Tribolium castaneum: one gene and its partners. The main gene of each other region encodes a partner of the protein of the gene in region 3 in a complex. Links are inferred from orthologs where the notes say so. Each region holds a gene or a part of one and is shown on either strand. Other genes may lie near its edges.

What was found.
Region 1: car (region 3) and Vps39 share a complex: the UniProt entries of both Drosophila melanogaster proteins name them as parts of the homotypic fusion and vacuole protein sorting (HOPS) complex. The link is inferred for Tribolium castaneum from reciprocal best matches to the Drosophila melanogaster genes car and Vps39.
Region 2: car (region 3) and Vps8 share a complex: the UniProt entries of both Drosophila melanogaster proteins name them as parts of the class C core vacuole/endosome tethering (CORVET) complex. The link is inferred for Tribolium castaneum from reciprocal best matches to the Drosophila melanogaster genes car and Vps8.

What each region holds. Positions count from the first base shown.
Region 1 is NC_087402.1:12,355,273-12,359,649, reverse strand, and holds the start of Vps39 (vam6/Vps39-like protein), read left to right. Parts: upstream 1-1,473; 5' UTR 1,474-1,572; exon of another isoform or gene 1,573-1,616; intron 1,617-1,681; exon of another isoform or gene 1,682-1,686; 5' UTR 1,687-1,720; coding exon 1,721-1,790; intron 1,791-1,842; coding exon 1,843-2,013; intron 2,014-2,076; coding exon 2,077-2,381; intron 2,382-4,377. Other genes in the region: RpL39 (ribosomal protein L39), read right to left, coding at 1,229-1,332, 1,440-1,442. UniProt on the Drosophila melanogaster protein: Part of the homotypic fusion and vacuole protein sorting (HOPS) tethering complex involved in endo-lysosomal vesicle trafficking and lysosome biogenesis.
Region 2 is NC_087394.1:22,505,444-22,509,095, forward strand, and holds part of Vps8 (vacuolar protein sorting-associated protein 8 homolog), read right to left. Parts: intron 2,656-3,652; coding exon 2,337-2,655; intron 2,292-2,336; coding exon 1,570-2,291; intron 1-1,569. UniProt on the Drosophila melanogaster protein: Part of the class C core vacuole/endosome tethering (CORVET) complex involved in endo-lysosomal vesicle trafficking and lysosome biogenesis by facilitating docking and fusion of endosomal vesicles.
Region 3 is NC_087401.1:11,290,988-11,295,220, forward strand, and holds the start of car (vacuolar protein sorting-associated protein 33A), read right to left. Parts: upstream 2,855-4,233; 5' UTR 2,650-2,854; coding exon 2,162-2,649; intron 2,115-2,161; coding exon 1,298-2,114; intron 71-1,297; coding exon 1-70. UniProt on the Drosophila melanogaster protein: Core component of the class C core vacuole/endosome tethering (CORVET) and the homotypic fusion and vacuole protein sorting (HOPS) tethering complexes involved in endo-lysosomal vesicle trafficking and lysosome biogenesis.

The DNA of each region.
Region 1 (4,377 bases), on a different chromosome or scaffold from region 3:
GAATTTTGCATTTGAATTTCTTAGAGTGAAATGGAGCACAAATTGAGAGTTTCTGGTGGCTTTTCTCAGCTCAAAACGTGGCGCTGTGTATTAGTTTAACACACATTTCTTTTTTTTACAGAAACTCAATTTGTGCTTTATTTTTCAAAATCCAATTTTCATAAAAAAACATGAAAATTTATCCCAAATCAAGTCAAACTAGTGTTTTTTATCGTTTTTGAGCGTATACTTTGATTTAGTATAAACTAAAAATTGTTTTTTTTTCGAAAAATTTCCCTTAAGGCGCCCCGAGAACTGTCAAAATGATGTGTTCATACTTTTATACATATCTTAAAAAATAGATTACGGAGTAGTAACATACCAATGATTAGAAATCGATTCCCCACAAAACTACACATTTTTATTTAGCATTGAATCAGTTTTTTGGTCTGTTGATCTGAGACTTGGGTGCCAAACGCAAGATACTGCACAGAACGGAAATCGAAATCGGAAATTGAAACAGATACTAGCAATAGCAAGGAAAAAACAACCTTAGAAAAATTTCTTTGAGAATATTTTTTTAAATTATCACTTTCAAAATTTATTTGTCAGTTGGAGGCGCCACAATGGTTTCTGGTTGAAAATTGTTGTCGATTTTGATATATGTATAAAAGTAAAAAAAGTGTAAAAACACTATTTTTTTTGGTTTGGCAGTTTGATTTTGACAGTTCTCGGGGACCGCCTTAACGCTAAAACACACTGAAAGACCGAAAATTACATTTTCAGTTTTTTCGGGGCAAAGCCCCTCGCGAAATAATCTTGGTGCTCGGTCAATAGAAATAATCTTCGCCACCTTGATGTAAAAGATACTATTAAGGTGCAAGAATATTTTTTTTTGTAGTTATCTCGAGAAATTTCGTCAAAAATTGTTTTATATTTTATATTATTAAATAAATTCAAACAGAGAAGCAATTTATTATCTAGAAAAAAATTGATTATAATAAGCCCAAAAATAACACAACTTTATTTCAAAGCTCTTAAATTTAGTAAACGTCTCTATTTAAATTTTTGGTATGTTACTGCCAATGTTTGGACAACAAAAACAAAATAAAATAACTAAATATTCAGGTTTAGTAACACATTTGAGTGCCTATGTAACCTCAAATTTGAAATGACAAATTTCGATACAAAGTTAAACAAAATGTTGCGTTTTTGTAACACGGTTTTAAAGAAATAAAAAAATACTCACCTGATGGTATTTCCTGTCCTCATACGGACCCATTGGGGAATGGGTCTGTTTTGTTTAAGCTTTTTGGCAAGCTTTCGCTTGATTATGAATGTTTTGTGAGCAGACTGAAAAATACAAACAAATAATCAATTCATGTGATTCCAGAAGTTGATATGAAATAAATTAAGTAGGAAATATAAACGGATGAAATAAATATAATTGAAAGACTTACCATCGCTCCTTTCGACTTGACAGTTGACAAGAAAGGAATTACTGAATCAATTGGTAGCAATGGCTTCGTTTGGGGGAAAAGGTCTCACCAACGTAATTAAAAAAAACACAAATCGGCTTAAACAAATAAAAAAGTACGTAATCGTGCTAACGTTGTTCCAAAAGAAGTCTTACAAGTGTAAATAACAAGACATTTTTTTTTATTTTGACGATAATATTAAATAATTTAATTTTGATTTTGAGGTTAGGTTTCTGTCACTTTGACAATATGAAAACAACAAAATGCATGAAGCATATCAAGTTCATTCTCTCCTAAAATTGACTTCGCAAATTGAAGCAATCACAGCTTACGGTCCGTATCATATTTTCCCCATAATTTATTTTTTAATTATTATTTATTGCAGATGAAAATCTCTTGGTTGGCACCCGACAGGGTCATTTATTTATGTATAGTTTGGTGCAAAACGACGAAAAATGCGAAGTCCAATTAATGAGATACAATAAATCGTTTAGTAAAAAGGCAGTTCAACAACTGGAGGTAATCCCCGATTATCATTTACTGATAAGTCTCACTGGTAAGAGTGCTATGAAAATGAATGTCACTCATTTGTCAAATTTATTTTTTGTATAATTTTTAGATAATTTAATACAATTACACGACATTAATGCAATTAATTTTACGACCGTTCATCAGGTGTTGAAATCTAAAGGGGCCACAATTTTTGCGGTCAATATTCAGAAACAGACGTCTTTAACAGGGGTTACTAGTACTTTGGTTAGGTTGGCTGTGGCTGTGAAAAGAAAGCTTCAGTTGTATTATCTTAAAAATAATGAATTTTTTCAACTTATGGAAGATATTACGTTGGCTGAGGTGCCAAAATCGATGGTTTGGTGTGAGGAGACTATCTGTGTGGGCTACAGGGGGGAATACGCCCTGATTGAGGTAGTTATGTGCTTTATTCTAGAGTGCTGTGAAAATTTTGTGACAAATTTTGACACTTCATTATCATGGCAGTTTTGATCACATTTTTATGTCTATTTTGTGCAGTGTTTTACCAGATTAAAAATACAATTTGCTGAATTTACAAATATTACCACCAGATTTTTAACAGATTAATTTAAATAATTTTTGCCGTATTTTTGACGTAGGTTTGTTCAAAAATGAGCTAACTTGATCGAAATAAATCGAGTTTTTTTTTAACGAGTTTTAGCGAAATTTGTCGAAAAGAGCTTAATTTTTTGTTCAAACTATTAAACACAAATAAAATTGAATTAAAAATTTAATTCAAAACGTCGTACATCTTTACATTAAGATTGGGTTAGGAATACAGATTGTTTTAATTAACAAAAAGTATGTTTTTAAGTAACTAGTTGCTGCAAAAATACAAAGAGGTTTTATTAGCACATTGTATTTTAGCATATTTACAACAGTTTTTTTTATCTAAAACTCTCTTAATTTAAAAATTATTCGGTTTATTTGAATGAAATTACGCAAATAATACTTAAAATATTAATTCAAATGTTTCAAACACATAGTGAAATGCTTTTAAAAAATTAAAGTGGCACAATTTTTAACGAAATTTCGTCTCTTTTAGTTAACTTACGAATCAAGACCTAGTGAAACGGACAATATCATATCAATTTCGACTTGATGATTGTGTGATTTTTGGGCTTGTTTTTACCAGGTTTTGCAAAATAATAAAATAATAATTGTCAGAAACAAGCTCTAATTATTACTATTATAAACAGCAATATTTTCGACCAAATCTCGTCTCGTTTACCAAATCTCGTTTACCAAAAGGGTAAAACTTTTGGAGGAAATGTTTAAAATCAAGCAAAACAAGATGAAGAGACATTAAGTAATCTTATTCTAACTTATCCGAAAGAACAGTATATGCATCAATTTGGATAAAAACTATTCATTTAAGCCGTTTTCAATTTGTTTTATGAGTTGTTTTGTCAATTTTAACGAAATTAAAAAAAATCTACATTTTTTGAAGAAAGCATAAATAATAAGATTTTGTCTCAGAAAAAAATGAAAATTTTCGCTTGAGAAAGTTTAAAATAACAAAATGTTTTTTCAATTATTTTTGACAAAATGAGTTAGATAGAGCCAACCGGAAGTCCTACACACAAATACATTTTTTCGCTCTGGATGACAGTTTGTTCAGGCTACTTTAGGTTTAACACTAACAGTTCTAAACTTACCATATTACTTTATGTCTCTTAATAAGTGAATTTTACAGTAATAGTATAATTAATAAAATAAAACAGTTTACCGCAAAATATACTGGTTATATCATGTGTTCCTAGATTTACTATAAATTTGAACAGTTTACTTAATTTGCTCAAAGTAGTGTAACAAACGTCAAAGATCTAAAATGAATATGCAATTTTTTGTGTTTCAATTTCACAGTCTTTTAGAGGTTATCTATACTTTTAGTTACGTAGTAAATCACTCAAAAATGAGGAAGTAATGTAATTTGTTGGTTTTATTTTAGTTTTTATTTTGGTAATTTTTTCCCATTTTCCACACATTTTCCACCAAATAAATCTTGTTGATTTTTTGCTCAAAATTGAGCAAAATTCGGCGAAATAAGTTCAAGTTTGGTATTTTTTCAACCAGTTTTAGTGAAATTTGTCGAAAAAAGCTTTTTTACCTCATTAAATTAGATTCAACATATAAATAACAATTTTGGTGTGAAATTGTCAATTTTCAACTTGTTTTTTACGGAATTTTGCGAGAGTGGTCGAAAAATGCAAAGACTAATTGAATGTATTTACTATCTCCACATAGAATCTTCCAAAATCTCTAGTTTAAAAATGAACTAAATCGAGCTAAATTAAGTAAAGAAACATCAATATTGTTCTAACTTGGTTGTTTTTTTCAGTCTGTTTCAGCGAAATTTAAAACAGTTTTTAGCTTAAGAATTTCTTAA
Region 2 (3,652 bases), on a different chromosome or scaffold from region 3:
ATGATACAGTTGGATGCAATAAAAATGGAAAATGTCATAGCATGAAAATGTCAGATTTTTATATTTTTCTCAACATTTTTTTTAAAGGTTAAGTTAGAACTGGCACCTTTACTGACTCACCTCAAAAAACATATATCAAAGAGTGTCTTTTCGTTCTCTGACATGCAAAGTTTCATAATAATCGGATAAAGCTGTAGTTTTAATATTTTTTGAGGTGGATCAGTAAAATACTATTGTTATTTGTAGAGGGGTACGTATTCGTTGTTAAAATTATATTTTTTAATTATCTGAGATCTGTACCAAAGAAGTTTAACAACAGAGACAAAAAGAAGAAAAGGGACAGGCCAAAAAAAAAGAAATTATTTCGTGGAATTATCATCGGAAGAAAACAAAAAAACAAAGGTAGAAGAAGTAAGTAATCAAGTAATAATTGAGGAATTAAAAAACAGGTCTCTGTAGATAGAAGAAAACAAAAAGACAAAAAGAAATGAATTGATAGGATTTAAACAGGATGACTTTAAGAATGCTGTTGGAGATGAGAACAAAGTGGAGAAGAGACACTGATTAACAATTATTACAAAAATAATAGACCAAATATTATGAAGAGGGAGATTTCCAAAGGAAAGCAGAAATAAGCTAAATACATAAAAAAGCTAAAAGGAAAGACATGAAGAACTAAAGAAGAGTGAATTTGTTGGAATACGACCAAAAACAATGCAATTGATAAAAGAACTTAAAGGAAGAGCTGGAGTTTTACTGGATGAACTAGCGGTATTTTAAGTGATGAATGCGAATGATAGTAAAATCACTTCAAAATAAATATCCTAACTAAAATGTAAATTATTAAAAAAATTCATTTTGACAACCTTTTGTTTTCTTACTTAACTAGTAGCCGAAAGAACAGATTTCAGTGTGTGTGGTATTAAAACATATTTTTTCACTTCATTGAATTAAAAATTTTAATTTTAAAAATTCATGTTGAGATAGAAATACAAATACAATAATATGTTAAAATCTTCAACTGGGAACACTTCAGAATGTAAGAAGCATTTTTGAATTGATCTAGTTTACCTTAAACAAACTATTAGAAGAAACTACAGCCATCGGCAGATGATACTTTTACCGTACAAGCGAAGGCAATCTGCCTAACACCCTAAAATTTCGAAATGACACAAATATAAATGACACAACTATGTAATCGATTAATTTTTGTGATTAAAGTTAAGACTGTAGTGTTCAATTCTAATATTATAATATTCAATTTATGCAACTGTTTCATTAAATGTTTAGAAGAATGTTAACACCATTCACCAGAGGCGCCAAGGTCTTGAAAAGCGAATAGTTAGCGAGCTTACTTCAATGTGGCGCCATCTATTTTTTTCTAAAATTCTTCTCTTGTAACTTAGGAACCAATTTAATTAGTGGCTTTTTGTTTAAAAAATTTAAACAATGACAGCACATAACTGAATTGTTGTCCTCTTGGAAATAAAAAAAGACATGGAATGCGACTTAATTGAAGAAAAACCTCCTTCACTGATCAAGGAAACTGATACATTCATGCAAACTTACGTTTTATTCAACTTGACGCAACAATTTACCGCCGCCGTTAAGCTGTCCTTATCCACCGTGTTTTGGTTGAGATTTTCCAAATACTTTTTTAGAAGACTTGAGGTGAAAATTTCCCGATTCATTCCCTCTTCAGCGGCCAAATTGAGCGCCTCAGCCCACCTCCCCTGCTCACTGAGATACAAAAGTCGTTCCGGCCACGTCCTTAATTTAATTAAATGCACAGCTTTTGTACCCAAAACTAGTAATTGATCCCCTCGACTAGATAAACTGTTGTAACAGGCCCTCTCCCCTGCCAGTGCAAACGCCTCACTGACGCCCCCTCCCACAGCCAGGGCTTTAAAATGCGCCGAACTATACACCAGTCCAGCACTGGCCAACTCCAAAACTTCCAACTCGCGCTGCGTCCGCACCTCCACCAGCCTCAAATTCTCACTGGTGTCAAGTAACGCCAAGTGGCGCGTCCCCAACCAATGCATGGCAGTCAGAGTATAGTTCAGCTGAACGTTGCGCAAGGGGAGAAGCCTCAGTCGATTGTTATTCGTACTATGGAATACAACTCGGGTGTAGTTCAGTTCGTTGCAGCGCCCCCATGCGAGCACGGGCTGAAACGTTCGTCCCACCGACACCAACTGCCACGAAATCAACGGCAGAGAGGTTGAAACTCTCGGTAGCGGCTGACTGAACAGGACTTTCAGCCGGGGCCGAATTGATATCACTATGACCTGGAATCATACTTGTACATTTCTGAGGACAGTTTTGGTTTGTACCTTGGATAATGTAGCCATGGCAACAAGGATATGGTGGCTTAAAAAATGAATATCGTGGCCTTGGACCAACGGTTCAAAGACACAAACTTCGCCACGAGCGCCCGAAAAAAGACACTTTGAGTCCCAACTGCGTACTCCTAAACGGCGATTAAACGAAAGGGAAAAAACGCAACCTGAAGAGTCGCCACAAAGCGCCAAATTATTCAAAAAGGTGAATCGCAAGTGCAAGACGGCGGTCTGGGGGGCATGGGCGTCGGGTAATTTTCTAATTATGTCGCCACTGGTTGCGTCCACCATTGAAATAAAGCCCCGTTCATATCTAGAATTTTTTTAGTTAGAATTAAAACATTTAAAGAAGTGTCTTTAGGGATAAAGAAGTCTAGGGATATATAAAACTTAGGACATAAAACGGCCAACCAATAAAACGTCCCCGTAATCGATAGTTCCGTTAATGTCGCCAGAGGCGCACTAGTTCCATTACCGTCAGTTTTCAGATTTATAAAAATAGTTGTAATTAAATAACGGTTAGCACAAGGCGAATGAAAAATACAGACATATAGAGCATTCAATTCTCAATAGTAAGAAATAAACATAAAATGCACAAATTATAATTTTAAACCAAATTTACAAAATTTCAAATTTTTCAAAACGCTGCGAAAACGGTTTCAGATGCAAGAAAAATATTAGGAAGAAAGTTGTAGAGAATTAAATTTCCTACAAAAAAGTGTGCGAGACCACATCTCTATCTTCAACCGTTTAGGCCCCAAAGACGTTCAAAAACGCTGTAGTGGGGGATTCGTTTCATTTTTCCTGTGGTCGAGTATAGAAAGAAGATAGATATGGAATATAGTATATAGAAATATGGTGTTGCAATTTTTTTATATAAAATTAAATTTCCTTCAATTTTACTCCTTTCTCTTTTTTTGTATTTTCAACCATATTCGCACCGTTGACAAAAATACAGCGTGTTAGGGCATAGACAAATCGATTAAGCAAAATTTATGTAAATCAAAATGCATAGCTTCCCCAAAAAATCGTTCCGAAGTTAATGTCCCAAATTTTGAGAACCGCTGAACTAGCATTATAAAAATTAGCGTAAATTCTAATATTAATGACAGAACAGCAGAAGTAAATTAATTTCTTGGACCATTACGTTATTCTTTATTTCAATTTGTGTTTTATTATTAAATTTTACGAAAAAAAAATTCTTTTTGTCAGGACCAGGATTCGAACTTCCCACACAAATGAACATGTTAGCCACAATTTTGAAAAATTCTCAAAACGCCCATGCGCCACCATCTCCATTTTGTTTAATA
Region 3 (4,233 bases):
CTGATTGGACCTTTAAAAGGCCCACTTTTTCCAGGTTTGTGATGGCGAGGAGCGCTTGTAAGCCATACACCTGGAAAGTTTCACATTTTTTTTTCTTTAATTTGTGTAGAGGCTTGTGGAATCCAAATTAGGTTGGCAACACTTTGTTAAAGAGTGACATAAGAAGTGTCAGTTTGACGTATCGCCAGCTATGATTGGATTATCTGATTATCTGCCAATAAAAAATCATCAAGACCAGAATAATCAAAAAGTATGGCTATTTCACGTAGAATTGTCAAAGGATTCCAAATCTGTCCTCACTTTTGTTATAAAATTCATAATTTAGGAGATATTATCAAAATATGGTGGATTTAATTTTTTTTTATTCTAGCAAAAATGAAAAAAAATCAAATATAAATTGACCTTGTTAGTTATCTAATTTTGAGCAAAATTTTGAGGCAATCGAGTCAAAAGTATGCAAATAATTTACATAAACAACTTGGGCAAATTTTTATCTACTTATCTGGTAATAAAAAATCATCGAGACCACAAAAATCAAAAGTTTAAGTTAAAAGTATGGCACTTTGACGGGAAATTATCTGAGGATTCCAAATCTGTCCTCACTTTTGTTACAAGATATTTAATTTTATTAATTTGTGTAAAGAGGCTTGTGGAATCCAAATTAGGTTGGCAACACTTTGTAAAAGAGTGACATAAGAAGTGTCAGTTTGACGGATGGCCAGCTATGACTGGATTATTTGCTTATCTGCTAATAAAAAATCATCAAGACCAGAATAATCAAAAGTTTAAGTCAAAAGAATGGCTATTTCACGTAGAATTGTTTGAGGATTCCAAATCTGTCCTCACTTTTGTTATAAGATTCGTAATTTTGGAGATATCAAAATATGGTCGATTTAATTTTTTTTATTCTAGCAAAAATGAAAAAAAAAATTATAAATTGACCTTGTTAGTTAGTTATCTATTTTCGAGCAAAATTTTGCGGCAATCGAGTCAAAATTATGCAAATAATTCAAATAAACAACTTGGGCAAATTTTTATCTACTTATCTGCATTTAAAAAATCATGAAGTGCACAATAATCAAAAAATTAGGTCAAAAATATACATATCTGATGTAAAATTGTCTTAGCATTTCAAATCTGAGCTCATTTTTGTTACAAAATCCGTAGTTTTGATGATATTGGCTGAAATTTTTGTATAACACCGGTTAAAATTAAAAAAAAATTAATCGAAGTGGTTTGTGATTTTGAAATTAAGTTGGCAACCCTCAATAAACCATGACCTACTTGTAAAACCCACCTGAACCAGCTCCCTCTTGTAATGCTCCAGCACTTTGGGCTTGAGCCCCGAGCTGGTAATACACTGCAAACAAATCAGTCTCAAAACCTTGACCAGAGGCTTGGCATGTGCGATCAAATCCTCGATATACGGACTAGCTTTATCCACTTCAATGCAATTCAAAAACTCCTGTTCCGTTTGTAGCGTGTCCAAAAATTCGTAACCATCAGTCACTTCTTTAATGCACTCCGCAATGGCCGTGTGATGCGCCAAAGCCTTCTTCTTGGCCAAAATCTGCGGCAGCTTCTGCACATATAACTTCATCTCTTGCACGGACCGCTCCTGACTATTATCCAACTGCACACTGATCGCCTTCGCCTGCTTCGACAAAAACGCCCCCACGGCGTTAAAATTCTTATCGCGGATGTCGGCAAATAACTTGTCGGCTGAATTCAAGATGATTTGTTTCTTGTCTTCGGAGAGCGACTCAGAGGTGCGCTCTTCGCTGCTCAAGAAATTGTCAATGGGGAACTGGGCAGTCGAGTTATTTATGCCGAAAATCTCGTCAATGAGCCCCTCGTAGGTCAGTTGCGTGGCCAAGGGGGTTATCAGGTCCACCCCGCGGTCAATCAGCAGGATCTGGTCGATGGTGGACGTCTGATTCGTCTTCAAGGGGGCGTTCTTCTCGCGCTGGAGCCGCGTCACCAGCTCCCACACCTGGCGCGCGGCCGGGCCTTTGCCCCACACGCGCGGAATGGGGCCGTACAATTTTTGCAAAAAAATGATCGCCTGTGCCGTTTGGTACAAATAAGTCGGGTCGTTTTCAAGCGTGTACTCGCTGCGGAAAGACAGTGAGCCCCCATATTCACCCACGTGTGGACTTACCGGAAAACTTCAGAAATTTCCATCGAGACAACATCGGAGTCAAACGGGAATAACTCACAGCGGAACTCTTCAACTAAACTCACACTGCCGTACACTCCGTTATGCTTGAGGCGCTCCAGACACAGGAGGCTCTTTTTCGGGACGAAAAACACGTGGTATTGCTTTTTGGAGCCGGTTTTGGTCTTGCAGTCGGCGTGGACGTTGTAGCCCACAAAGTCCATTAGGTGCAGTTTGGGGCGCGTTATGAAGATAACGTGGGCTACGTCTGTTTCTGGGAGTGGTGTGGGGCGCAGGGGGAACATTTTAGTGACCGAATGTTCCTTCAAGACTGCGTATTGGGCGATGAGTCCCACGGGGCCCGCAAGCGAGTTGTCCCAAACGATGGCTTTGGGGCCTGGGCATTTCTCCAGGAGGGTGATGAGGTTGTTACGGGCCGCCGTTTGGATGAGGGATATGTCAACGCGGCCCCCTTGTAAATGAGATGACATTTTCGAGGTTAGCTGTCACTGTGACAGTTGTTTGAGGTTAGCTGTCACTGTGACATGTGGTGACAATGGGGTGATTTACAATTTTGGGGCGATGACAAAATTGGGGATTTGGGTGATTGTGGGCCTTTGGGGTTGTTTTATTTTGCAATGTTCGAAGGAGTGGTGCGAGATGGCGCTAAGGTTTATGATTCATGAACGTTTGCCGTCCTCGTGGCTTTAAATGAATTGGTAGGGGGTAAGTTTGTCAGCTTTGCGCAGTGGCAGTATCGTAACCGATGAGGTAAATCCGAGGTGCGATTATTGCTAGTTGAAAACTTTAACCAATACCCCGCCATGTGCACGTGAAATACCGTGCGCTACGGCAATTTTTGGAAGCCTCTACGGGGGCTTATTTATAAATCAAAGACATAATCAGCCAAACTGGCACAAATAAACCATGATAATTACTTTTGCTCCACCGTGTATGTTAAGTATCGGTTAATAGAAGCGTCATTAAGTTAATCTGCAATTAAATGCGTGATTAAGGATAACTGATCACCTGACCAAATTGAACAAATTTGGTTGGTCCATTCGTTTTGTTAACTTTTAACAACGAATTAAATTTTAACAAAGCTTTCTACATATAAACCGGCCCTAAGTATATAACTGGTTTATAAAAGCGTCATTAATTTAATTAATCTAATTAATCTGATTTTATTTAAATTACATTATACATAATAGTAAAAAACCTAAATTCTTTCTTTCGTTCTTTCTTTTTTCTTCTTTCCTCTTTCTTCTTACTTGTTTCTTCTTTCTTTCTTTATTTCTTTCTTTCTTTCATTCTTACCTTCTTGATTGTGCGGTGCCTATTGTAACAATTTGTTTTCTATTTGTCATATATGAATGAAGAAAAAATGAAATTTTGTCGAAACCGTAAAAAGATAATTTTGCACATAAAAGTGAGTGATCCGAGGCGCCGAAGGCTTTAGAAAAATTCAACAGTGGCACAATTGTTGCTTCACTTTTATCCAAAGCTCCAAAGCAATCATTAAGAATTTTTCCTATACTGTAACAGTATTTATTTATTTTTTGATAACCTGATTGTTTATTAGTAACTTTTTCTTAAATGTTTGTAACTTTTTCTTAAATGTTTGATAAAACTGGTTATATGCTAATGGGTCTCAAGTCAGAACATGCATTGGGATTTTTTATTTTTGGGTAGAAAACGTACTAAAGCGTTTTCCACATTTAAGAATTAAATTTCCACCTTATGAGTAATAAATTTCTTCAGTATGTGACGTCAAATGACTTGTGGACACTTATCTTGGAAATCGAGAAATTCTCCCCCTTAAATGTTAAATGCATCTCTGGTAATTAAATAATATCGACACTTTTTTCTAAAGGTCAGAATTTAAAAATGTGCGGTTCTTGTAATCTGAATAGGATGTTATACAACCAACAATACACCTTGACCACAATTAATTAGAATTAAGGTTTTAAACCGACTTCTTTCTCAAAGTTTGATTGTAGAATATCAGATAACTTTCACAATACAATTATTTCAACACAACTTGCTTTTTTTTGCGGCATTTCGTCGCAAGAATT